Linked DNA regions of Rattus norvegicus. The main gene of each other region encodes a partner of the protein of the gene in region 2 in a complex. Links are inferred from orthologs where the notes say so. Each region holds a gene or a part of one and is shown on either strand. Other genes may lie near its edges. The genes, in order: Med13l, Med24, Med12, Med26, Ccnc, Med18 and Med21.

Region 1 (3,500 bases), on a different chromosome or scaffold from region 2:
GCTGGGTTTGCGTCCACTCTACAGCTACGGCTTTGCGTCTCTGCCTGTGCACTTTTCCTAGAGGCCACAACTCTGCAATGATACTGAAGTGGCTGTAACCAAATCCACATTCAAATGTGGTGCTTTCCTAAGTCAGATGGTAGCCCTGGTAAGGCGTGAGTGTCCCCAGCACTGTGTGACTGCTGTGCCCATCTGTCTGTCTAGCACAGGGCTTAGTGTCTGTCACTCAGCAGTCACTGGGAAGGACACACCAAGAGGTCCCTGAGGGTCCCCTTCTTCCTTCAATCTCTCTCAGTTCTGAGACAGACAGGGCTGTTTATCTCATGAGCAGTGGCTTGGGGAGATCACGTCTGCAGCATGTGCATGCCCTGCCACTCTAAAGCTGCCCTGAAGCACACCCTCAACAACTCCCACAGGCCTGTAGACAGCGCACAGGCTCAAGCTCACTATGTGCACTCGCAAGGACTTCAGTCCTAATGACTCGACACATGAAGCCTGTGCTCCTCAGTGAGCTTCACACCCATTTACTTCCACAAGCCATCGCCCTGCAGTCTTTTAGAACTTGTACCATTGGCTCAGGTATCTGAACCAGGCAGTAATTACATAAACTTTGACTTACAAGGATTTCTTGGGTTCAGACAAAAGCTGACAGAGAAACTGAATGGTGCAATAAATAACTATCTGTACATTTATTGGATTCCTTTAAATTTTGCTGGTCAACAAGATCCTAAAATGATTTTACAGTGGATTAAAACAGAACCATGATTGCTAGCTGAAAATCTAAATACTTCACTTGTTCCCTAGGTAGAAAACAGTTCATCTTACTTAGCAGCCTCATTCTTCCCTGTTTCCTAAGAAGGAACTGGAAACCAATCCTGAGTGAAAAGTGGGGCAGTCAGCAGAGAGACAGAAGCAAGCATCAGCAAGTATACCAAGCATGACAGGCAAGCCCAGTGCAGTGGCACTGGAGAGCACAGCAGGACCTGGCAGTGCCAAGCTGTGCCACCTGGTAAAGCAGTTCCCAGACCCCAGGGCTAGTTTTAAGGGAAGCAGAGCTAAGAACCCACTAGCCACATGATAAGGAGCCAACACTGGCCACAGCCACATCAGACAGTGTGAGCAAAATCTCTTCCCTTAGCACAGGCTCCACCAGGCCGCCAGTCTAACCTCTGGCTGCAGAGGGTATAGGGGGAAGGCGATGGATGGGTGGGAGTGGCCACTCAGAGAGTGAAGACTATCAGAACCTGTCCAGAGAGTCTGGGGCTGAGGCTCCAGGACCTCGCTCAGCAGCTAGAGCCCAAATAGAGCTTGGCAGAGCCCGGCCAGGCACTCCCAGGGCAGCCGGCCTGGCAGTCCTTTCCCTTCCCCACTGCGGTCTGCAGTCATTGGCTGCTGGAACATTCCCACAGCTCTGGGGAGAATAATCTACTGGAAGGAGCGGAATATCCAGGGCCAGGGTCCTTCAAGCCCACAGTCTTTTCAGGAGGCAGAACTGTCACATGGCATAGGTGCTGGCTTCCAAGTCCAGGGTCCTTCTGCCCCTTCCCACCCAGCTCCTCAAGCTGACACCATGTAAACTGCTGGTGTCTATCACAGACACATGGCCAGAATGAGCCCTGAGGCAGAACTGGTTTACTCGCTCCTAAGGCTCATCATCTTTGAGTTCGCTGCTGGCTCAGATGGGCCAACATACAGTCAGTCTCCCTGCCTGACAACGGTCCCTGAGAAGGGGCAAGTGCTGGAGCCCACTCATCTCCACAATCCCTGCAGTGAGACTGGCAAAGCGCTGGTCCATCCACACATGCACATGGCCCGGACACACATTTGTGTTTGTAAATTTTTGCTTTATCTGAGGAAGAAGTTCTTTCTTTCAAAGAAAACAGAGTTTGCACTGCTGATACAAATATTGTTTCTCTGGGCAGACGAGACACCAAGTCACCAGCAATTTCTCCCTTTACTTTTCCCAATCACGCCTCAATCTGTTACTGTATTACCTAACTTTAAAGTCCCACGCTGAAATCATTACCTTACACAAACCAAAGCTCCTCCCACTACTGACAACCATCAGCAACTCCAATCGGAGGTAGGTTCTACGGCAAACGCCACATTACACTTACACACAGCTCTCTGAAATAATCTTAATTTGTCTACACACACGCTCATGCACAGAGAGACACACGCGCTCACGCACAGAGGAAATCTCATTTAAAAATAAACACACGGTCCTGCAAAAGACAACATGGTCACAAACGAGAGTAAGCAAGAAACCAGTCTGAGCCTGAGCTGCCGTGGCCCTGTGACGAGCACTTGGAAACCAGCATGGTTGCATCGCATGCGGTAAGTGGTAGAGCTGCGCACGTACTTGTAGCCGTCTCTAATGGAAGAGGCTGCAGGGGGCATGGGCAGCTGCTCCATTTTCGGAGGAACCGCCCATGAGGGCCGGAACAGACAGGCATCCGGTGTCTTCAGAGGCAGCAGGCAATGGCTTGGCAGCGTCTTCAGTGGAGCAAACATAGAAGAGCCCACGAAAGGCTGGAACTGCGGCACTCTGTGCACGTAGGAAAAGTCCTGTGACAATGAGGGGCTGGGTTAATGCTGGCACGCCGAAGCCAGCCCTGGGTGCTCAGCGCTTCCTAAAACCCGGGCACAGAATCTGCTGTAGAAACAGCTCTCTACATGACGGAGTGAGAGGGAAAACCTAATGCCCTCACTGCTGGTGAGCAGCGGTCAGTGTCCGTCTACTGACGGGCTCCGGCTTCAACAGCCCTTACACACGCGTGTGTGGGCGCCACCGAGAAGCCGCCCAGCCATGGGGAAGCGCACACACTGGTCATTACCTTTATGTCCTCTGGCTTGGGACTTCCTAAGCCATCTTCCACTTCCATCCGGAACTCCGTGAGGTGTGTGGGGACCATACTGACCACAGGGCTCTCCAGCATGCCCAATGCAGTCACTGTCTCTGAACTCACTCCATCTTTGTAATTCATCACCGGGGAAAATGCAGGATGCTGTTCCAATGATGGAGGGGTGGGGAACATCCTTTGCAAGTCTGCAACTGCTAAAAACAAAATTAAAAGTGCATCTTAACAGCAAGATTCCGAAAAGCTCTGACAAGCAGCCAGGCACAGCAGTATCCACACAAGGCTAACGGACTTTCAAGACACAGGTCACGCTCAGGCGTCCACACGTCCCTGGGACCCCCTCTTCATGCTGTATGGTGTCATGCTAATTCAGTCACCAGGGTCTGCAGAGCATGCTTTCCTTCCCATAGTTGACTCTAAGACCTGAAGGAGACGGGTGGAGAAGAAAGTGAAAGCTCTCCAACTACACTACTTATGAAAGTCTATCTCCATCTCCAGACGTTTATGAAATAGTAAGAGAATAAAAATTATTTAGAGCAAGCCTGGGGGGTGGGTGACTGAATCACACAGTCCTGCTCTTTGGGGAATGATCTCACACTGTCTTTCTAGCCATACAATTTTAGAGTTAAGTAATAATAG
Region 2 (3,500 bases):
ACCTTGCTGTGCTGCCCAGGCCGTGCCCAGTTAGGGTGGCTGGACTCTCCTTTCCCTCTCGGCTTACGGCTTCCCTTCCCTACCACTCCCTCACATTCTTTGTCACACACTCATTCAACTGGCACAGCAGGTAGTTGGTGTCTCTCTGGATCGAGAGGGTTTTAACCCTGCAGTCCATGAGTGGGAAATATGGACCCCAGACAGCTTGGCTTCTGTCCTCAAAGACTCCAAGTTGTAGAGAACCAGCTGAGGCAGAAGAGCAAAGGGATTATATGGCTGTGTCACTGTCGAGGAACTCTGAGGCATCTGCAGTTTTTATAGCTGCCCTCCCCCACCCCCAGCTGTCCTGGTGACCATTTCAAGTACTGGCTCTTGAGGGACTTCCGCCACACGGGCTGGTGGTGTCCGTTCATTCCCCCCAACTGTTAGGTTGTTGGGCTGTTGGTTTTTAAATGTGGCGTGAAGCACATAATAGAAAATTTGCCATTTCAACTGTGTTTGTGTGTCACTCAGGATGTGGGTTGTGACACAGATCTCCAGACATTTTCATCTTGTGTATCCGAGCCTTTTAGCCAATAAGCAACTGTCTACCCCCCCTTCTGGGTTCCCGGCAGCTACCGTGCTGCTGTCTGTCCCTCTGAGCAACTACACTAGATACTTCGTATAACTAGAATTACGTAATACCTGCTTTTTCATGACTGACTGACTTTACTCAGCATAATTTCCTCAAAATTCATTCATACTCTGGCATGTGACAGGATTTCCTTCCTTTTAAGGCTGAGTAACATTGCATATCCGTGCCCCTCAAGGGGACTTGGAGAGAGTTGCTGTGTATGTGGGGCTGGGCTGGCTTGCAGGGCAGCTGCTGAAGATGCTTTCTGAGGGACATATGGAAACAGCCCAAGCAAAGTTTGGGGAGGCTCTGTACACTCTTATCTGCACTCCCCTGCCTGTGGGACATCATCCAAATTAAGTGTGTATAACACACACACACACACACACACACTATAACACACACACACGCATGCACGCACGCACGCGCGCACACACACAAATACACACGTACACACACACACACATTAGCACACGGGCACAGAGGGGCTCTGAAAGTCAAGGTTGCACTCTCTGCACCCTGACATCCCAGCAGTTAGTACTCAGACCCCAGCTGTGTTTGCAGCCCAGATGTTCCCAAGAGGATTCCAGGCCGTGCACATTTTGCCCAGCTGCCCAGGGCCGGGAAGAGTCTCATGGGGCAGCCTAAAGGCCTCTCCTGGAAGTTACAGTTTACTTTGGGAGGGTGCCAGGGCTGGGTCGGACCCCCTCCCCCAAGTGCTCAGCTTAAGTGGAAGTGATTGTGTTTATTTATGACCCTGATTTGGCAGTGCTCAGGCCTGGGGGAGGGGACAAGGGGATGGGGATGTTGAGGGGAGGAGAAACAGAAAATCTGAGTGGATTGATGGAATCTGCAAGAGAAGAAAATCCTGGTCTGTGCCTCTCCTAGGCTTCAGGCCTGGCAAGTGAGCTCCTCGCCAGGAGTGAACTGTATTGTCCTCCCCAGCATACTATGGGTCTAATTCCTCAGCCATGTTTCCGTAACCCAACCCAGGGGTAATGCCTGCATGTACCCTCCCTGCTCCCCTAGGGTGGTGATTATGAACTCAATCTTGGAACACATGTGTGCGGACGTGCTACAGCAGACAGCCACGCAGATCAAGTTTCCATCCACGGGCGTGGACACAATGCCCTACTGGAACCTGCTTCCTCCCAAGCGTCCCATCAAGGAGGTACTGACAGACATCTTTGCCAAGGTACTGGAGAAGGGCTGGGTGGACAGCCGCTCCATTCACATCCTTGACACCCTGCTGCACATGGGTGGCGTCTACTGGTTCTGCAACAACCTGATTAAGGTACTAGGGCTGGGGTACATGTGGACAGCCATATAGATAAGGGCAGTAGACATCATCGGTTGGGATAGACCGGGCTGGGGTGCATGTGGACAGCCAGCTGGACAGGGGGAGGAGATGTCATCAGCTGGGATAGGCTGGGCTGGGGTGTATGTGGACAAGCCAGGTGGACAGGGACAGGAGACATCATTGTCTGGGATAGGCCAGGCTTCTTTGAGAGATTGCTAGAAGCTGGGTGGTCTCCTGGGGAGATAGGGCTTCACCTCAGAGAAGCACCTTGGGAGTTAGGGTTGAATAGCACCTTTGGCTGCTGAGGTGGTTAGAGCATCAGAATCCTAGGGTCCAGGCAGCACCTCAGGAGCCACTCGCCTGCCTCTCAGGAACTGCTGAAGGAGACTCGCAAGGAGCACACGCTAAGGGCAGTTCAACTATTGTACTCCATCTTCTGTCTGGACATGCAACAAGTGACCCTGGTTCTGCTGGGCCACATCCTGCCTGGGCTGCTTACTGACTCCTCCAAGTGGCACAGCCTCATGGACCCTCCTGGCACCGCACTAGCCAAGTAGGATTCTCTCCAGAGCTTTTCTTGAGCCCCAAGCATCTAGCATCCAGATTCAGTCTGGTGTCACCCAGGATCTGGGTGGGAGTGAGGGACAGAAGGGGCTCCTTCACTGTGAACATGTAGCTTCTTCTGGGACCGACTTAACTATGCCTTTTCCTGGAACCTTTGCTAGGCTAGCCGTTTGGTGTGCCCTGAGTTCTTACTCTTCCCACAAGGGACAGGCATCCTCACGCCAGAAGAAGAGGCACAGAGAAGACATAGAGGTAGGCCTGCTGCTGACTTGGTCATGTGTTTATTCAGCAAACATTTTCTTTTTTTCTTTTTTTTTTTCCGGAGCTGGGACTGAACTCAGGGCCTTGCGCTTGCTAGGCAAGCGCTCTACCACTGAGCTAAATCCCCAACCCAGCAAACATTTTCTGATCGCTTAAAGCAGAGGTGCTCTCCCAGCCAGAGGTTGGGGCTAAGGTCATCTGTGTGTGGGCCTGTCTGATTGGTCAGGGTCTAGAGGAGTGGCTTGAGTGGTCCTCTGAGTATCCTTGATGAGGATCCTTTTCTGCTCACTGGGCAGAGATTGGGGTATGGGAAGGGTCACCACTGGTAACGCTGGCCAAGGACTGTAGGAAGCTCACTTCTCCAGTCAGATCTGCCCTCCAGTCCTCTCCAGCTCCTGGAGACTTAGGAAGTCGAGTGTGTGACAGTGACTCCTTGTCCCCAGGATTATATCAGCCTCTTCCCTGTGGAGGACATGCAGCCTTCAAAGCTTATGCGGCTCCTGAGCTCCAATGAGGATGATGCCAGCATCCTGTCAAGTCCTAGTGAGCACTTGGGGATCATGGGCCTGCCCAGGACTCACTCCTCCCTCACGAGCTTCCTCGACTCCCAGCTCATGGCCGTCTGGCAGAGCAGGAGCTTGCACTTCTCTGTCCCTAGTGGGTGCTCTGACCCCACAGGTCCTCCTCCCTTATCACTGGTGGGAGGGTGGCGAGGCATTTAGTGAGTTCACCAGCTTGACACAGCTTGTACCACTGACTCAC
Region 3 (3,234 bases), on a different chromosome or scaffold from region 2:
ATTTGACTAAAATTAACCATGAAATTCATTTGTTAGTCCATCCTAGAGTACAACTGCTTTTTCTCCCCTTGAGAAAGGGTCTCATGTAGCTCAGACTGGCCTCAAACCATTATGTAGCCAAGGAAGACCTCCTCCCTGTACCTCTTGCGTGCTACCACTGCAGTTGTGCATGACATAGCAGGCTTTGTGTAGGGCTAAGGATCAGACTCGAGACATCATGCATGCTAAGTAAGCATGCTATCAAGTAAACCTTATCCTCAGTCCTGGTGTTAACTGTTTAATTCTGGATTTAGCAGTCTGTATCATATACTGTATCTATAAACCCCAGGTTCTTATCAAAGTTAGATATTTGTTTCTTCTGTCAGTTCCTCAAGGATTTCTTCCAACTCAGGTCATTTGTGGCAATACTTACATGACCAGATTAGTGTTCTTAATGCCTCCCAAAGTTCAGGCCCATTTATCACCTTCAAGTACAGGGTTTCCCAAATCAGATGCTTGCTTATACCTGCTTATACCTCAGTATCCCTTGCCAGTTCACTACTACTTTGGGTACCTTTGAGTGGAAGTCAGTCCATGCCCATAGGTTGGGGCCTGCTGATGCACATAGCCACTGGGCCGCTGTTGCAGGTGACGGGTAGGATCTACAAGAGTAGGATTGGTAGAAGGGTGGGTGCTCTGATAAGGCTGGCTGGAGTAGCTGGGGGGCACCATGGTACCTGCAGGGCCTGTGTGTTGCTGCAATCCCACATGAGAGACATAGGACGTATAGCCCTGGAGGGAAGGAGGAGAGATCTGGGGAATGAGGAAGTACAGCAACTCGCTTCCCTCTCCCTGAGGTTACTAGTCTCAGGCACTTACCTGGGAACTCTGCAAACCATAGGAAGAACTAGGAGTCATCTGATGGACAGATGACTGTCCCAACATTCCCTGACTCTGCTAAAGGGAAAAAGGAGAACTCAAGTTCAGGAAATGCTTTCTGCCATGTCTCTTTTATACCTCTGACCCTGCATGCTCCTGTGAAGGTTCCAAGTATCTCCTCAGTCCTCTGACCCACCAAAACCCCTCTCCCTGGCAGTCCTCCCTACTGCCCCTCTCACTATCTTTGCCTGGAGCTGTTGGCGAAGGCGCTGTCCCTGGGGCACTGTGGGTTGCTGCTGCCGGTACACAGAGGTCTTATAAGAAGAGGGTTCTAGGCCCATGACAGTAGTCATAGTTGTAGGCAGCACACCGGGGTAAGTTGGTCGAGTTGGCAGCTTCTGCATTGGTAATCGCACAGGGCGATATGGGTCCACACGAGGGCCACCTGGAAAGGAGAACAAATTGACCTCTCGGAGATCCTTATCCCTTCAGCCTCATTTTTTTTTTTTTAACAGTTCCAGCCATCGACATTTCCCCTGGGAAGGGAGGAATGTTCAACTCCACCAATCCTAGTGACTAGTACTTACCAGCAGGCAGTGGCTGGTTTTGGGTGTACAGGCCCATGGAGCTCTGCCTGTAGCTAAGGTGGGATATAGAACCTGGATTTGCATGGTGTAGAAGGTCTGGAGGCACTGTCACACCATAGGGACCACTCCGACCTGGCCCCATGCCATAGTCCTGTATGGGTGCAGAGGACAAAGGTAAGTGACTTACAGCAGTTCTGGGTGGGGAGGTGAGGGAGGAGGGTGTAAGGAGGAGCGGTACTGATCCAATTCACTGGATCATGATTCTAATGGCACCTCTTCCCTATGTACTGCACACCTCCCATAAAGCAGGAACTTTAGCTTCCAACTACACATGAAGTCAGGAAAAGGGCTTGGGTGGGATGGGGACTGGCCTCGCTCTTGGTGGCTGGCTGACTGCGTTTCTTGCCCTTGGTAGATTTCTTCTTGCGCTCCTCTGTGCTGGGAGGAGCAGTCCCTGGTTTGTCAGTCTTGGGGGGCTCAGGAGCCTTTTTCTCAGGCTCTAGTAGGGCAGGGGCTGGTGGCTCCTCATCTTCTGGGGGCAGAGGTAGTGGCTCCAGGTAATAGGCTCTGGGTCGAGGCCTCAGGTGGGTATGGTAGAGCAACAGTCGTTGCTGCTCCTCCCCTCGTGCCACTCGGCGGTCCACTCGGACTGTGCCAAACCAGGCCCATGATAGTGGTGCTGTTGATGGCTTCAGGCCCTCAAAAAGCTCCCAAGGAGAGATCTTTTGTTTGGTGGAAACTTGTAGACCCTGCTCCAGCAAAGGAGAAACAATGAGCCACCGAGACTTGGAAAATAGGAGGATGTCTAGAAAGGGCAAACTATCTGTTGATAAGTTTTCAAAGTATGAAAGAGTGGTAAGTAATCGGGGATGTGAGGAGAAGAGGAGAGAGACACTAACACAGAGATACATGAAGGACAGACTCTGCCTGGGCACAGTTGAACTGAAGGAGAAGAAGAGAGAGACACTAACACAGAGATACATGAAGGACACACACTCTGCCTGGGGCAGAGCTGAACTGAAGGAGAAGGGGGCAAAGGGGAAAGGGGACACCAGGAGAGAAAGAGGGTACTAAAGAGGCAGATAAGGAAACAGAGATGGAGGGGAGGAGAGAAGCTGACAGAAGATGAGGGAAAGAAAGAAGCCAGAGAGAGGGGAGGGAAAGAAGGGAGAGGAGAGAAAACGGGAAGGAGAGAAGAGGAGAGGAGAGAGAAGGAAAAATTAAAGAGGGCAAAGAGAGGCAGTCAGAGAGAAACAGGAAGAGAAAGACAGGGATAGGGACAGAGAGACGGAGAGCAGCCAGAGGAGAGAAACATGATAAGAAAGGAATTACGAGAATGTGTACACTGAGGAGCTTTGCTTTGCATTTGAACCTCTGTATCCCCCCTTCTCTCTCCGCTATGAAGAATAAATGGTTAATCAAGGAAACACTCAACCAAGTGCTTGATAGAAGGCCTGTGGCTAAGAGCCCTTGCTACTCTTGCATAGGACTCAGGTCTGTTTCCCAGAACCCACATCAGGTGGTTCACAACCACATGGAACTCCAACTCCCGGTCTCTGTGGGCACCTGCACATGGACATGGCCTACACATACCCAAGCACATAATGCTTTAAATCCAAATACTGAAACCAACATAAAAAATAATAGGAAGCTGAGCTGGGCAAGTAGAGAGACATGGAGAAAAGAGACAAGGAGCCAACAGAATGCTGGGAAATGAGAAAACAGTGGGGCAGAGAGGGGGGCAGGGCATGGAGAAAAGTCAGAGGGGACTGAGACAGGCAGAACAGTA
Region 4 (4,025 bases), on a different chromosome or scaffold from region 2:
CTCCAGCACTCCCTAGAAGTATAACAAATTAAAATTAACAGGTGTCCCGCAGCTCTCAGGAGTACATGTGATTTTCATTACCTGTTTCCCTTCCGTTTCATGTCTGGATTTTTAAGGTTACGACACAAAACGAAAGTTATTTCTCCCGAAGCCACTGTAATACAGTGCGCTAAACTCGGAGCCCGCCCTCCCACTCCACCTGCCGGAGACCACAGCCCTTATACTTGATATCCTTCGTTTCTTGGTTTGACCTAAAACTCACGGTGACCTTGGCGCTTCCCTTCCTCCTCGGTGAGGCGTTCCTGTTTTCCAGTGGCTGGGGTGCAAAGCAGGGATCGTTCCGTCCGCTCCGAATGCGGAGGGGACGATGCTGAGCGATGGTTCCGCATCCTGTTGTGCAGACAAAGACTGGCCACCTCCAGTTCGCCTCTCAGGAGGGCTACAAGAGCGGTGCTTCAACGCAAGGCCCTGGGTTCGGTCCCCAGCTCCGAAAAAAAGAATTAAAAAAAAAAAAAAAAGAGCGGTGCTTCTTCTTGAGTTCCAGCCCCTCGTGGATGCACAGCCAAGGTGTCAGCGTCGCGCATGCCTTGCAGACTCGAGCCCTCGGCGGAGGCGGCAGCTCCCATACGTGCCCTTAGGTCCCAGCAGCGCGCGGGTCACATGGGGACACTCACTGCCCTGCAGATCCGCGCCTGGGGCCTCTGCAGCGGCGACGGCTGCGCCTAGATTCTCCGAGCTACTCGCCGCACGGGTCTCAACGCAGACAACCGCTGCCCTTCTTAGTGTCCCTATGGCCGCTCCAATCCTCTGATTCCTCAAAGCTAGAGGTCCTCATCCGGTGGAGGGTCTTACCATTCCGCAACCCCAAAGCAGTTAGCAGGAAGAGCCGGTGTTCCAGGACTTGGCATGTGAGCTTCCGTTAGGAAGCCCCGCCCCCTAGTCCGGAGTGGGCGTGACCTTCGGATAGCGTCCGTTGCCACGCCCAACCGTCTCCCAACGGCTCTCTGGATCCGGCCTTAGAACCCGGCGGCAGGACCTGATAAGTGCGCATGCGTGCGCGTGCGCAGAATCAATGGGCGGGGCTCACAAGCCGGCCCCTCCCAAACCCGGCGTCTCCACCCGCCCCCATCTCCCAACCTCCTCAGCGTGGCGCCGACGCTGCGTGCGGCGCGGGTTACCCAGAGTGCTCAGCGCGGGGGCAGCTCACTGGAGTTTGGTTCTCGAGGCGGCGGCGGCGGCGGTAGTGGCGGAGGCTTCTCCGTCGGCTCCTCCTCCTCCTTGCTCGGCGGTGGCGGCGGCGGTCCGGGGCCTGAGCTCCGGTCCCCTCCGCTTTCCTCCGTCCTCCGCCATCTCCCCGAGCGCCTCGACCTCCTCTGGCGCCGCGGGGAACATGCGGCTCCGTTCCCGGAGGCCGGCGAGTGACTGACCTGCGTCCCCCCTCCTCAGCCTGCCCGCCCGCCGGCCCGGCCGCTCCCCCCCGCTTCGCCCAGGCAATGACAGCGGCTCCGGCGTCTCCGCAGCAGATGAGGGACCGGCTGCTACAGGCCATCGACTCCCAGAGCAACGTAAGTGACTGCCGCGCGATCGGGGACCGAGGCCGCATGTGTCGGGACCCTCCCCCTCCGACGCGCCCCTGCCAGGGGTTCTCTCCGGGCGGTGATCTGCCCGCCACGGCCGCTGCCATCTCGGTGTCTCGTTCTCCTGGGTCCGGAGGCCGAAGGCAAGGCGGGTACCCCGGCAGCTGAGGGTACCTGAGGCCGAGGCTTCACGCGGCCTGGACTGAGGGATCGTTCGGAGCTTTGATGAGAGCTGGTTCTCCTCGGTTGTCCCAGCCCGGCTGCCCTTGGTGCTCCCCACCGTGCCCTTCTTGCCTCACCCCAACCCCGGGAACTGAGAACCCCCCGGAAAGGTCTCCCTGCCGGGGGACAAGGTAGAAAGCAACTGGTGTCTCCGCGATGACTCGGGTAGCCCGCGTCTCTGGAGTCTTGGCCTTTACTCCCCCTCGGTCTTCTAGCGAATCCCCTTCTTGGATTCGTAGGGAACCCTAGGCCTGTTCTGCCATCAGTCTGTCTTCCTGTGATGCCTGGAGAGTATCCTCTCTTCTGATAGTGGGTCGCTTCCTAGAAAAGACGACTCTGCAGAGAGTGGGACCCTTCCTGTCACCTCTCTTGGCCTAAATGCTCCATTGCGCGTCTGACCAGTAGCTAAAGCCTGGGATTTTAGTACTGAAATACTGCCGATCACAGTAGATTGTTCTCTTATCCCTATCTTCCGGTCCTCTTTCCATCTCTCTTGCTCCACCTGAGGTGCTTTGGACTCTAGGCTGTCAAGATTTAATTGTAAGGGATCACACTTTCCTCTGTCAAGAGTCCTGTGAGCAGTAGGACGCCTTTTTTCTTCCTGTGTGAGTGTAGACTAATTTTACTTGTTCTTGTATTTTTTCCAAAGGTTTGTTGGCAGTGCAGGGGGCGGGTGTCCTTGTTGCTGTCAGGAGTAGGGCCATGGGAAGATGCACAGGCATTCAGATATGAAGTGTTTGCTGGGAAACCAGGAAGTGGCTTTTGAGATCACTTTTTAATATGCCCAGGATGGAAGAAAAAAAATCATCTTGGACCAGGTAACAGAGGTTTGAACCTTTTTGGGTTCCCTTGCCTATGCTTGGCTAGTTACTTGTAGCAATGTGCTGTATTGTGTGTTCAGAATAATTCACATTGTTTGTGTGGTCTTGGTAGAAATAGAGATGTTCTAGTTTCTATGAGAATCTACTTGCCAGATTCAAAATTATTCTCTTCCTAGTCTTTAGGATCACGTCGATAGTAATTTAGTAAATATTGTAGACTTTTTTTTTTTTTTTGTGGTGGAATAGAGACAGGCTAGATAAAAATCTTCTAGAAAACCTTTCTTTTTTGGGGGGCGGGTTTAAGGGTTTTTTGTTTTGTTTTGTTTTTTGCCAGTGATTGGTAATAGCTGACTAATCACATGATTGATATATTAGGATATTAAAAGGTAAAAATAAGTGATAGGAAAACATAGCCTTGATGGCTTTTGCATCTTTGCTGAAGCTATAGTGTATAGTGTAATCTTTTTGATGTTGTTTTTCGAGAAGGGTTCCTCTTCTGTGTAGGTCTGGCTATCCTAGAACTTGCTCTTTGACCATGCTGCTGGCCTCAGAGATTCTCCTGCCTTTTCCTTCTGAGTGCTGGGATTAAATGCTTGCACTATCACTGCTCCTCTCTTCCACATTGTAAATCTTACACCTGTGTAACTCCTTGCTGAGATCTTCTCAGAGATCCTGACTGCTTGCATGTGAGAGTGTTGGGATCAGCAAGTGCTTTGACAGGTAGTCATGATGTTGTAGATCAGGTGGGGTCCAAGTGCTAGGTAAGGGTCTGACTAAAAGACCCTTTGGGGATAGAAGAAGGAAGATAGAGGGCCCAAATTTTAGTTTGTGTCTTTTTTCTGAGACTGTCTCTGGAAGTCACTATGTATGTAAACCAGGGTGTCCTCACAGAACCTGTCTGCTTTTACCTGCTTTAATCCCAAATGCTGGGATTAAAGGTATGTGCCACCATGCTTGGCCTCCAACTTTAGTTTCTTGAATCTTCCCTTGGTCCTAAGTGCTCATTGGCCTGTGAGTAAGTTGCTTGGAGTGTGTATCTCAAAGGGCTGTAGTGATAGGAGACCTTGTTGTGGCTGGAGTTGAGAACTTATCTCTGAGTGAGGAGGGGAGTGTTTCCCTAGATGCAATGTGTCAGTGACTATCCACAAAAACAACTAGGTATATGTTCTAGGGGCTAGCTTTGCAGAATCTCTTTGTAGAATCAGCCTGGAGCACTGTCCTCCATTTCTTGCTGAGGGGTGCCCGGCCATTTGCATTGTCTCTGTGATTGTTCAGGGCCCAGGTAAGAGCCGCATGTTGGTGCAGGGATCTCTGCTCTTGCTCTGATCTGCCCAGTTATGAGCTCCACCACTTGGTAATTGACACATATTTAGGATGTTCATGGAAAAAATACAAAACGGGGACA
Region 5 (3,500 bases), on a different chromosome or scaffold from region 2:
ATCTGGGGTTGGGGATTTAGCTCAGTGGTAGAGCGCTTGCCTAGGAAGCGCAAGGCCCTGGGTTCGGTCCCCAGCTCTGAAAAAAAGAACCAAAAAAAAAAAAAAAAAAAAACAAAAACGTAATCTATAACTTTATGTGCGCACATATATTTATATTTAACCTTCAAAACCCAATAATTAAAACTAAAAACTCAAAACTGAAGATAGTATGTTAAACATGATTTTGCCCACAATTTCTAATCAATTAGACAAAACAGAAAGATTTGGTTAGAGTTAAAATGTAATGCAACATACTGAGAGGGTAAATGAAAATGCTACCTGGAATTGATACCTACTGGCAAAGGTCCAATGGAGTGACCCTAGTCAAATCAACACACTCTAAAGCAGTCCCCAGGCCCAGGAATAGTTGGACAACACAAAATTAACTACATGGCTTTTGTCCTTGGTTGCTTGATTTTTTTTTTTTTTTGAAGGCTTTTTTGTTTCTTACTGGCTTTGTTTCGATATTTGTCTTATGTTTTTTGTTTTAGTTTTTGCTTTGTTTGAGACACAGAAAATGAACACTAAGCTGGGTGAGTAGGGAAAAGGATCTGCGAGAAGCTAGGGTAGGGGAGAAAACATGGTCAAAATACATTGTATAAAAAAAAACTTTAAGAAAAAGTAACTCAACAACCACAACTAAAAATACACCTCATCTACAAGACCTCTTTATTCAAAAAGACATTCGATACACATCTGGTCCTCAGGACTGAAACCAGGCCTCATGGGAACTAGGTAAACACTATAACTGACTTGTTTATAGACTGACTTATAACTAGATTTATTCAAACTTTATCTCTCTCATGGACAGAGTTAACTTAGGTTCCTAGAAAGGGTTTTAGTATTCTAATATATTCAATTCTGCATACTTAAGAGATAATCAAGATGTCATGAATGTTTCTAAGATAAAATGAACACAAAAGAAACAAACTTACTGGTTAAAGTCATTCAATTCACATGGATACAATTATCCTAAAGACATTACCTAAGAACAGAAACAATAGACTAGGAATTGTGTGGATTAGCTAAGAAAAAAGCCAGTTCTCAGAATCTGCTACTATTTGGGCTTTAGGGGGTAGTTACACTTTCTCAATAATATTGCAAACAGTAAGTTGAGCAGAAATGCAGTTCCCAGTCCAAGTCCTTCTCTGTCTTCTCTTACTTACCTTTTCTGCTCTCACTATCCACACTTCCTTGCTGGAGTCTATAAAGTCTTTTCTACCTTTTTGCTCTCCCACAGTGGCTTGTTACCAGAGAAGTCAGGTGTAAACAAAAAGCATGTGGGTGAGGAGCAGAGACATTCTCAGGCCATAGTAGATAAGCTGTGCTACCTCCTTTGTTTTCTTTCTTTCTTTTTCTTTTTTCTTTTCTTTTTTTTTTTTTTTTTTTTTTTTTTTTTTGGTTGTTTTAAGACTGGGTCTTACTACAAACCTCTGGCTATCTTGGAACTTAGAATTCACTGTGGTTCAAGCTGGCCTTGAATACATAGAGATCCACCTGCCTCTGCCTCCCAGGTGCTGGGATTAAAGGCATGCACCACCACACTCAGATAAATAGTCTTTTAAAGACAGCAAGCAATTAAGTTACAGGATGAAGATCTAGACTATTGGAACCACTGACCCAGTATACGAACACTGCTCTCTCTATGCCCTAGTTTCCTCATTTCTAAAATGACAATTGTAAATGCTACAGTTCTGAGGGGATTCCTTTCCCCAGTGTTGCATCTCTGAAGGAAAGGCATCTTCCCAGTCAGGAGCCAAGGAATACCACAAAGTCACACTGCACAACAAAGTTCACATAAAGACTTATTGGGAATGACAAGAGAAGGTGTTTGCAACCCTGCTTGGGTAAGGAGGAGAAGCAGCAGAAACCTAAGAAGGTAGGCTGTATTTGAGGGTGGGGGGCAGGATTGTTTTCCAGGGTAGCATGGGCCTGATCTTGGGGCAAACTCAGGGACTGGAAGGATTCTTTTTCTTGGCCTTGGTTTCTTGCTTGGGCTCAAGTCAAGGTGTTCTTTCCCTGGCCCTGATCTCAGGGTCAAACCAGGGTCAGGGTCTTTGGTCCTTTGACCCCACATGGATACTACTGCCATATACTCCAGAGTTACAGGATTGAATTAGAACTTGCAAAGGAATAGAGATGTAAATAAGAAATACCCAAGTTAATAAAGATGAAAAAAAAAAGAAAAAAAAAGAACTTGCAAAGGGCTCATTAAATCATCTGATACATAAAATATTTATTAAAAAAATAAAAACATTTTCAAGATGTGCATATTAGTTCCTATAAACTATCATAGGATAACTATGATTAACCATACAAAAGCAATATCTATCTATCTATCTATTTATCTATCTATTTATCTATCTATCTATCTATCTATCTATCTATGATAAACCAGACATATCAATATTTTCATGAAGAACAGAAAATTGTTTTATACCTCTACTTTGGATGCCAGAAACACACATGTAGGAGCCATTAATACAGGATCTATACTTTTCAGAGAATACCTAAAATATGATTAGACAAGAGTTAAATGATGACTATTTAGAAAACACACTGGGGTGGGGGTGGACTTTGGGAATCATAATTCTACAGTAAACAAGTGATTTACTTATTTTATATATTGTACATGGAAATTAGAAAAGAATTCCAACCAGGCATTAAAAATAATAAATAAAACAACCATACCTGGCATAGAATCTCTTGAAATAGACTGTAGCAGTAGCAATAACTTGTTGTCTTAATTTAAGATGTTCCCCTAATGCTTGGATAACTAAAAAAAGAATACGTTTAAATGTACCATCTGTCATCAGTATACCAACACTAATAACCTTAAGTTTTATTAGTGATTTCTACGTTGCAATCATGACCATTTCACATCTAGGCACACTCTGACACCCTCTGAACTCCAGTAGTCTAAGACTTACAAATGCAGCAATATTCATAAACAATAAGAGAAACTGCCTGCAATTTATCCTTGCAATATAAGCAGGCTGAGTATCAAATATTCTTTCTTTACTACATATTTTAATGCTTTTCATAATAGCTATAGAGTAGCTTAAAAATTAAGACAGATATTGTTATTTACCAAGAAATCCATAGTTAATCTTTGATATAAGGACAAGGTAGGATTGCAGAGAATAACGGAATTAAAGCTAGGTGACAGGATGGGGAGATGGCTCAGGAGTCAAGAGCATAAGACCTGGGTTCCATTCTTAACACCTACATGGTGGCTCATAGTCCTCTGTAACTCCGTCAGGAGATCCTAACTTCCTCAGCATCAGGCACAGCAGATAACTGCCCAGATACCGGCAAAGTGCAAATCACATAAGATAAATACAATAAACAAACAACACAAACAAACAAAAGAACAGGCAGCAAAGCTATCCCAGACACAGTAAAGGGCTCTTGATTAAATCTCCTTCTTGCTAATGCAAAGTTATAAGGCAAAATGACAA
Region 6 (2,826 bases), on a different chromosome or scaffold from region 2:
CCTCAGTCCTTTTTTATTTTTTTTAAAGATTTAAAATACCATTTTAAATTCTGTGCGAATGTGTTTCAGGGGACAGTATGTACATGTGAGGCTGGAAGTGTTGGGATCCTTGGAGTTGAGTTACTGGCAGTCAGGAGCCACTTGATGTGGGTGGGACTGAACCCAGGTGCAAGAGCAGGACAAACTCTGCACCTCCGAGCCGTTTTCCCAGCCCGAGTCTCCTGAGTGCCCTCATGCCTGGCTCAGTAGAACAACGCTGCTTTGCTGGTGTTAATCTTTTTTTTTTTCTAGTACTAGGAATCGAACCCAGAGCCTTGCGCATTAGTCCTTGGCCACTAAGCTCCATCCCTCAGCTGTGGTCCTTGGCGCCGTGATCATACCCAAGGCCTTGCATTCGGAACCCAGGGCCTCCCACAGGTGTACACCCAGCCATAATGGTTTATTTCTAGCCAACGAAATTCTTCCATTTGTGGAATTACAAATTCAGGTTTTCCTTTTGACTTAATGATCCTTCAGAACACAGCTGGGTGTGGTGATGCGTGTCTTCCCCCCCCCCCCCCCCCCCCCGCCCGCCCGCCCCTTTATCCCTTTAAGACAGGCAGGTCTGGAGCTACAGCCTGATCCACTGACAGAGAAAGATGGGGCCTGGCTTTGAAAACTCCCATTGACACACTTCCTCCTACAAGGACATAATTCCTAACCCTTCCCTAAACGATACCAGGTAAGAGACGAGACACTCAAGTACGGGAGCCTGTGTGGGCCATTCCCAAGCACATCATCACCAGGTATTTGCTACTAAGCCTGACCACCTGTGTTGGACCTGTGGACCCCACAGGAGGAGGAGACTCAGTTCTAGCAGTTCATCCTCCAGCCAGCATTCCCGTGCCACTGTATTCTCGTGTTTGCCAAGACGTGAAAGGCTAAATGTAAGGAAGGTTTGAATAAACAGATAACTAGAATCCCGTGGGTTGTTCTTATGAAAGATCGCATAGGACTATTTATTTGTCGACTGTGTTTATTTTTGCTAGTTTCATGACTCGAAATGAAATGGAAGCCTGGACTCATTGTGCCTTTGCCTCCTCAGGGAGTGTTTTAGACCACAGTTTGGAAAGTCTGATCCATCGCCTCCGTGGTTTGTGTGACAACATGGAGCCTGAGACTTTTCTCGATCACGAGATGGTCTTCCTGCTTAAGGGCCAGCAGGCCAGCCCGTTCGTCCTAAGGGCCCGGCGCTCCATGGATAGGGCAGGGGCGCCCTGGCATCTGCGTTACCTGGGACAGCCCGAAATGGGAGACAAGAACCGCCATGCCCTGGTGCGCAACTGCGTGGACATCGCCACGTCTGAGAACCTCACGGACTTCCTGATGGAAATGGGCTTCCGCATGGACCATGAGTTCGTCGCCAAAGGACACCTGTTCCGGAAGGGCATCATGAAGATTGTGGTGTACAAGATTTTCCGAATCCTGGTCCCAGGGAACACAGACAGCACTGAGGCCCTGTCGCTCTCTTATCTTGTGGAATTAAGTGTTGTCGCACCAGCTGGGCAGGACATGGTCTCTGATGACATGAGGAACTTTGCAGAGCAGCTCAAACCTCTGGTTCACCTAGAAAAAATAGACCCTAAAAGGCTGATGTGAGGAAGAAAGTCTGTCGGCCTTTGAGACCTGTCCTCACGTGGGAGGTGAGAGATCCCACAAGTACCCTAGGTACTGATGCCAGCCAGGCCACTTCCTTCTGGAAGATGGATGGTGAGAATTTGGTTCCTTTGAACTGTTTCCTTCACCTGGTAATTCCTTCCTTCCTTCCTTCCTCCCTTCCTTCCTTCCTTCCTTCCTTCCTTCCTTCCTTTTTTCCTTCCTTTCTTTCCTTTCTTTGTTGTCTGTCTGTCTTCCTTTCTTTTTTCAACAGGGTTTTACCATGTAGCCCTGGCTCCCCTGGAACTCACTACATAAACTAGCTAGCCTGGAACTCAGAGGTCCCTGTCCTGTCCGCCTAGGTGCCTGTGTTAAGGGTCCTTATTGAACCCGACTGTTCATCTTCTTGACAGTCTTTTCCAATGAAAGACCCAGTATAATATGGAGAATTGTTCAAGTCTTCCCTCCACCCAAAAAGAGGGAACTGGAATACATTAGCTTTTTAGAGGGAAAAGTCAAAAAACAACTGATAATTGTTTTTCTTTTGTTTTTTAAGAAAAGTATTTTCTCATTCCTTTATTTATTTGTTGTTTTCTTCATATTTTTTAATTGTGTTGTTTTGCCATTACTATTCAAGGTTCATAATGGTGGTGTGAGCTGGCATTGTGGGGCAATAAAGACTGAAAAGACACAGCTGTGATTCTGATTCTTACTCAGCTCCTTACTATTTTACTTAGGTATTTGCTATTACTGTGTTACTGTCTTGTGGGATGATGTCACAGGTGAGGCAGGCACAAGATAGAAGGAGGCCTGTCATTGGATGAGAAGGAAGGATGGGCGGGAGAAAAAGTTTGAAGGAAGAGGAGGGGACAGAAATGGAAGAGACCGGAGGGACAAGGAGAGAACCGTGGCAGGACAATATGGCGGGTGACGTTAAGATTCCACGCTGCACCTTCACAGGTTGTTACAAATGTTCTTAAGGGATGGATGTGCACTGGGCTTTGTATGTTTAGGTGGGCAATTATATCTTATCAATTGGGCCAAAGGTTATTGTGTTGTGTGTTCTTTCATGTAGCAATTTAAGTGTAAGAAAATGTGCAGCGGCTGGTCTGGGCCGCCACAGAGTTGGGATGTGTGTTTCTGGCATGGAAACCTGCCTTGGGAACTAGATAGGTAGAGAGATCGCTGCCA
Region 7 (2,231 bases), on a different chromosome or scaffold from region 2:
ACCCACATATACACCAAATATATGTAAAAAAAATAAATAAATAAAGAATCTATGGCAAAACTTAGAGCAATATACTCTAATCACAGTCACATTTTTTACAAACAAGCTATAAATTGTAGAAAAAAATGCCAGTCAAACTAAGCAGAGCTCACCTTCTGTAGGATTGGCTGGTTGATCTTTATTAATTGCTGTCTGAATGTTACTAAAAGAGGCAGGGGGACCACACTGCTGTAATACACCAATGGCATTGCAAAACTGATCTGCAAGCTTGAGCAAAAGGAAAAAAAGGTCAAGGTTACAAAGATCTGTCAATGTTAAGGATTTTATTAAAAATGGCAACGACCGGGGTTGTGGATTTAGCTCAGTGGTAGAGCGCTTGCCTAGGAAGCGCAAGGTCCTGGGTTCGGTCCCCAGCTCCGGAAAAAAAAAAAAAAAAAAAAAGAACCAAAAATGGCAACGACCTCTTCATAACAATGTTCTCCATACAAACCAGTCAGACAAAGGGATAGTCTGAAATAAAATGAGCCCAGTATCACAGGCTGCAGCTAAAACACCCACTCTTCAGGGATTTATTTACATCTAGTTTGGATTAAATGGTTTAATCATACAAACAAATATGAATCTAGGTAAATTAAATTTGGTATTAATCTAGCTTAAGGAATAAATACATGAAAGCCAGGTTATGTCGTCTAACACCTTTAATGCTAGCACCTGGGAGGCAGAGGCAGGCTGATCTCTGAGCTCAAGGCCAGCCAGGGTTGTACTACAAGAAAACCAAAGACTCAGCTGTAAATGATTTGTTCTGAGTGGCTCTGGAGACTGAGCTCTCTCCATCCCAGCAGATACGCAAACGGCAATAGAGAAAACACGGGCTGAATGGGTAAGAGCACTGGTTGCTTTTGCAGAGGACCTGGATTCAACTTCCAGAACCCACATGGCAGCTCACAGCCATAACTCTAATCTCAGGGGACCTAATGTCCTCTTCTAGACTCTACAGGCACCAGGCACCCACATGGTACACATGTAGAAAAAAAAATCATCATACATATTAAAAAAAGAAAGAAGGAAATGTCTCCTTCAAACTCAACAAACAAATCCTAAGACACCAAAGTGGTTGAACTAGTAGACAACAAAGTCAATTTGAATTGCAAAAATGACTGTTGTAAGAGTCTGTTCTTTTCTTCTATAGTGTGGGTCCTGAGGTTCAAAATCAGGTCAGATCTAGGGGCAGAGTCTTTACTTACTCAGCTGAGCCACTCTGCCAGCCGCTAAACCATTTTTATGCTGATTTTATTTATGTGTATGAGTGTTTTGTCTGTGTGTATGTATGAGGACCATGAGCATTCAGTGCCCACAGAGGCCATCAGATCATCTGGGACTAGAGTTTTAGATAGTTGTGAACCACCATGTGGATGTTAGGAGTTAAATCCAGATGCTCTGAAAGAACAGCTAAGCTCTTAACTGCTGAGCCATTTCTCCAGTCCCATATGCTAATTTTTAAAACCAAAACCACCAAACACAAAGTTGGTTCCCCTGTATCCACAACAGAGACCCTAGGTTCTCACTGGAGAGCTAATCTAGTTGAAAATGTGAGCTTTCTGCTCACTGAGAGTCCTTGTCATAAATAAATACACAAATAAATAAATAGATAAATAAATAAATAAATAAGAAAAATACCCTCAGATAACTCTGGCCTCTACATAAATGTATACAGGTTAAATGCACCTGTACACACACACACAGAGTTCAGATGGTTGTTTACATAGCATACATGAAGCCCTGGGTTTGATCCATAGCACTGCTTAAACTGTAGGTGGTAGCACACACCTGTAAACCCAGGACCTGGAGGCAGGAGGATGAGAATTTCAAGGATATCCTCAGAGATGTTTTTGAGGACAACCTGGGCTACATGAGAACCTGTCTCAATAAAAGAAAGTAAAAAAAAAAAAAAAAGAAAAAGAAAGAAAGAAAAAAAACAAACCAAAACCAACCAACCAAACAACAACAACAAAAAAAAAAAACCAAGCAAGAGTAATCTTCCTTTTCCTTTTATAAGTACTGAGATATATACGCCAAACTTATTCCAAACAAAATTACTGCCCAAGACAGGGTTTCTCTGTGTATCCCTTGCTGTCCTGGACTCACTCTGTATAGACCAGGCTGGTTTTAACTCAGACATCCTGTCTCTGCCTCCAGAGTGCTGAGATTAAGAGTGTGCATTACTACCACCT

The links.
Region 1: Med24 (region 2) and Med13l share a complex: the UniProt entries of both Homo sapiens proteins name them as parts of the mediator complex. The link is inferred for Rattus norvegicus from reciprocal best matches to the Homo sapiens genes MED24 and MED13L.
Region 3: Med24 (region 2) and Med12 share a complex: the UniProt entries of both Homo sapiens proteins name them as parts of the mediator complex. The link is inferred for Rattus norvegicus from reciprocal best matches to the Homo sapiens genes MED24 and MED12.
Region 4: Med24 (region 2) and Med26 share a complex: the UniProt entries of both Homo sapiens proteins name them as parts of the mediator complex. The link is inferred for Rattus norvegicus from reciprocal best matches to the Homo sapiens genes MED24 and MED26.
Region 5: Med24 (region 2) and Ccnc share a complex: the UniProt entries of both Homo sapiens proteins name them as parts of the mediator complex. The link is inferred for Rattus norvegicus from reciprocal best matches to the Homo sapiens genes MED24 and CCNC.
Region 6: Med24 (region 2) and Med18 share a complex: the UniProt entries of both Homo sapiens proteins name them as parts of the mediator complex. The link is inferred for Rattus norvegicus from reciprocal best matches to the Homo sapiens genes MED24 and MED18.
Region 7: Med24 (region 2) and Med21 share a complex: the UniProt entries of both Homo sapiens proteins name them as parts of the mediator complex. The link is inferred for Rattus norvegicus from reciprocal best matches to the Homo sapiens genes MED24 and MED21.

What each region holds. Positions count from the first base shown.
Region 1 is NC_086030.1:43,491,320-43,494,819, forward strand, and holds part of Med13l (mediator of RNA polymerase II transcription subunit 13-like), read right to left. Parts: intron 3,059-3,500; coding exon 2,838-3,058; intron 2,569-2,837; coding exon 2,363-2,568; intron 1-2,362. UniProt on the Homo sapiens protein: Component of the Mediator complex, a coactivator involved in the regulated transcription of nearly all RNA polymerase II-dependent genes.
Region 2 is NC_086028.1:84,162,380-84,165,879, reverse strand, and holds part of Med24 (mediator of RNA polymerase II transcription subunit 24), read left to right. Parts: intron 1-1,642; coding exon 1,643-1,907; intron 1,908-2,284; coding exon 2,285-2,466; intron 2,467-2,638; coding exon 2,639-2,729; intron 2,730-3,181; coding exon 3,182-3,281; intron 3,282-3,500. UniProt on the Homo sapiens protein: Component of the Mediator complex, a coactivator involved in the regulated transcription of nearly all RNA polymerase II-dependent genes.
Region 3 is NC_086039.1:70,461,810-70,465,043, reverse strand, and holds part of Med12 (mediator of RNA polymerase II transcription subunit 12), read right to left. Parts: intron 2,195-3,234; coding exon 1,817-2,194; intron 1,597-1,816; coding exon 1,446-1,596; intron 1,304-1,445; coding exon 1,098-1,303; intron 937-1,097; coding exon 859-936; intron 772-858; coding exon 554-771; intron 1-553. UniProt on the Homo sapiens protein: Component of the Mediator complex, a coactivator involved in the regulated transcription of nearly all RNA polymerase II-dependent genes.
Region 4 is NC_086034.1:17,332,545-17,336,569, forward strand, and holds the start of Med26 (mediator of RNA polymerase II transcription subunit 26), read left to right. Parts: upstream 1-1,225; 5' UTR 1,226-1,493; coding exon 1,494-1,565; intron 1,566-1,589; exon of another isoform or gene 1,590-4,025. UniProt on the Homo sapiens protein: Component of the Mediator complex, a coactivator involved in the regulated transcription of nearly all RNA polymerase II-dependent genes.
Region 5 is NC_086023.1:40,066,683-40,070,182, reverse strand, and holds part of Ccnc (cyclin-C), read right to left. Parts: intron 2,816-3,500; coding exon 2,731-2,815; intron 2,550-2,730; coding exon 2,480-2,549; intron 1,025-2,479; exon of another isoform or gene 975-1,024; intron 1-974. UniProt on the Homo sapiens protein: Component of the Mediator complex, a coactivator involved in regulated gene transcription of nearly all RNA polymerase II-dependent genes.
Region 6 is NC_086023.1:149,946,847-149,949,672, reverse strand, and holds the end of Med18 (mediator of RNA polymerase II transcription subunit 18), read left to right. Parts: intron 1-594; exon of another isoform or gene 595-1,032; coding exon of another isoform or gene 1,033-1,084; coding exon 1,085-1,638; 3' UTR 1,639-2,326; downstream 2,327-2,826. UniProt on the Homo sapiens protein: Component of the Mediator complex, a coactivator involved in the regulated transcription of nearly all RNA polymerase II-dependent genes.
Region 7 is NC_086022.1:181,294,274-181,296,504, reverse strand, and holds part of Med21 (mediator of RNA polymerase II transcription subunit 21), read right to left. Parts: intron 268-2,231; coding exon 153-267; intron 1-152. UniProt on the Homo sapiens protein: Component of the Mediator complex, a coactivator involved in the regulated transcription of nearly all RNA polymerase II-dependent genes.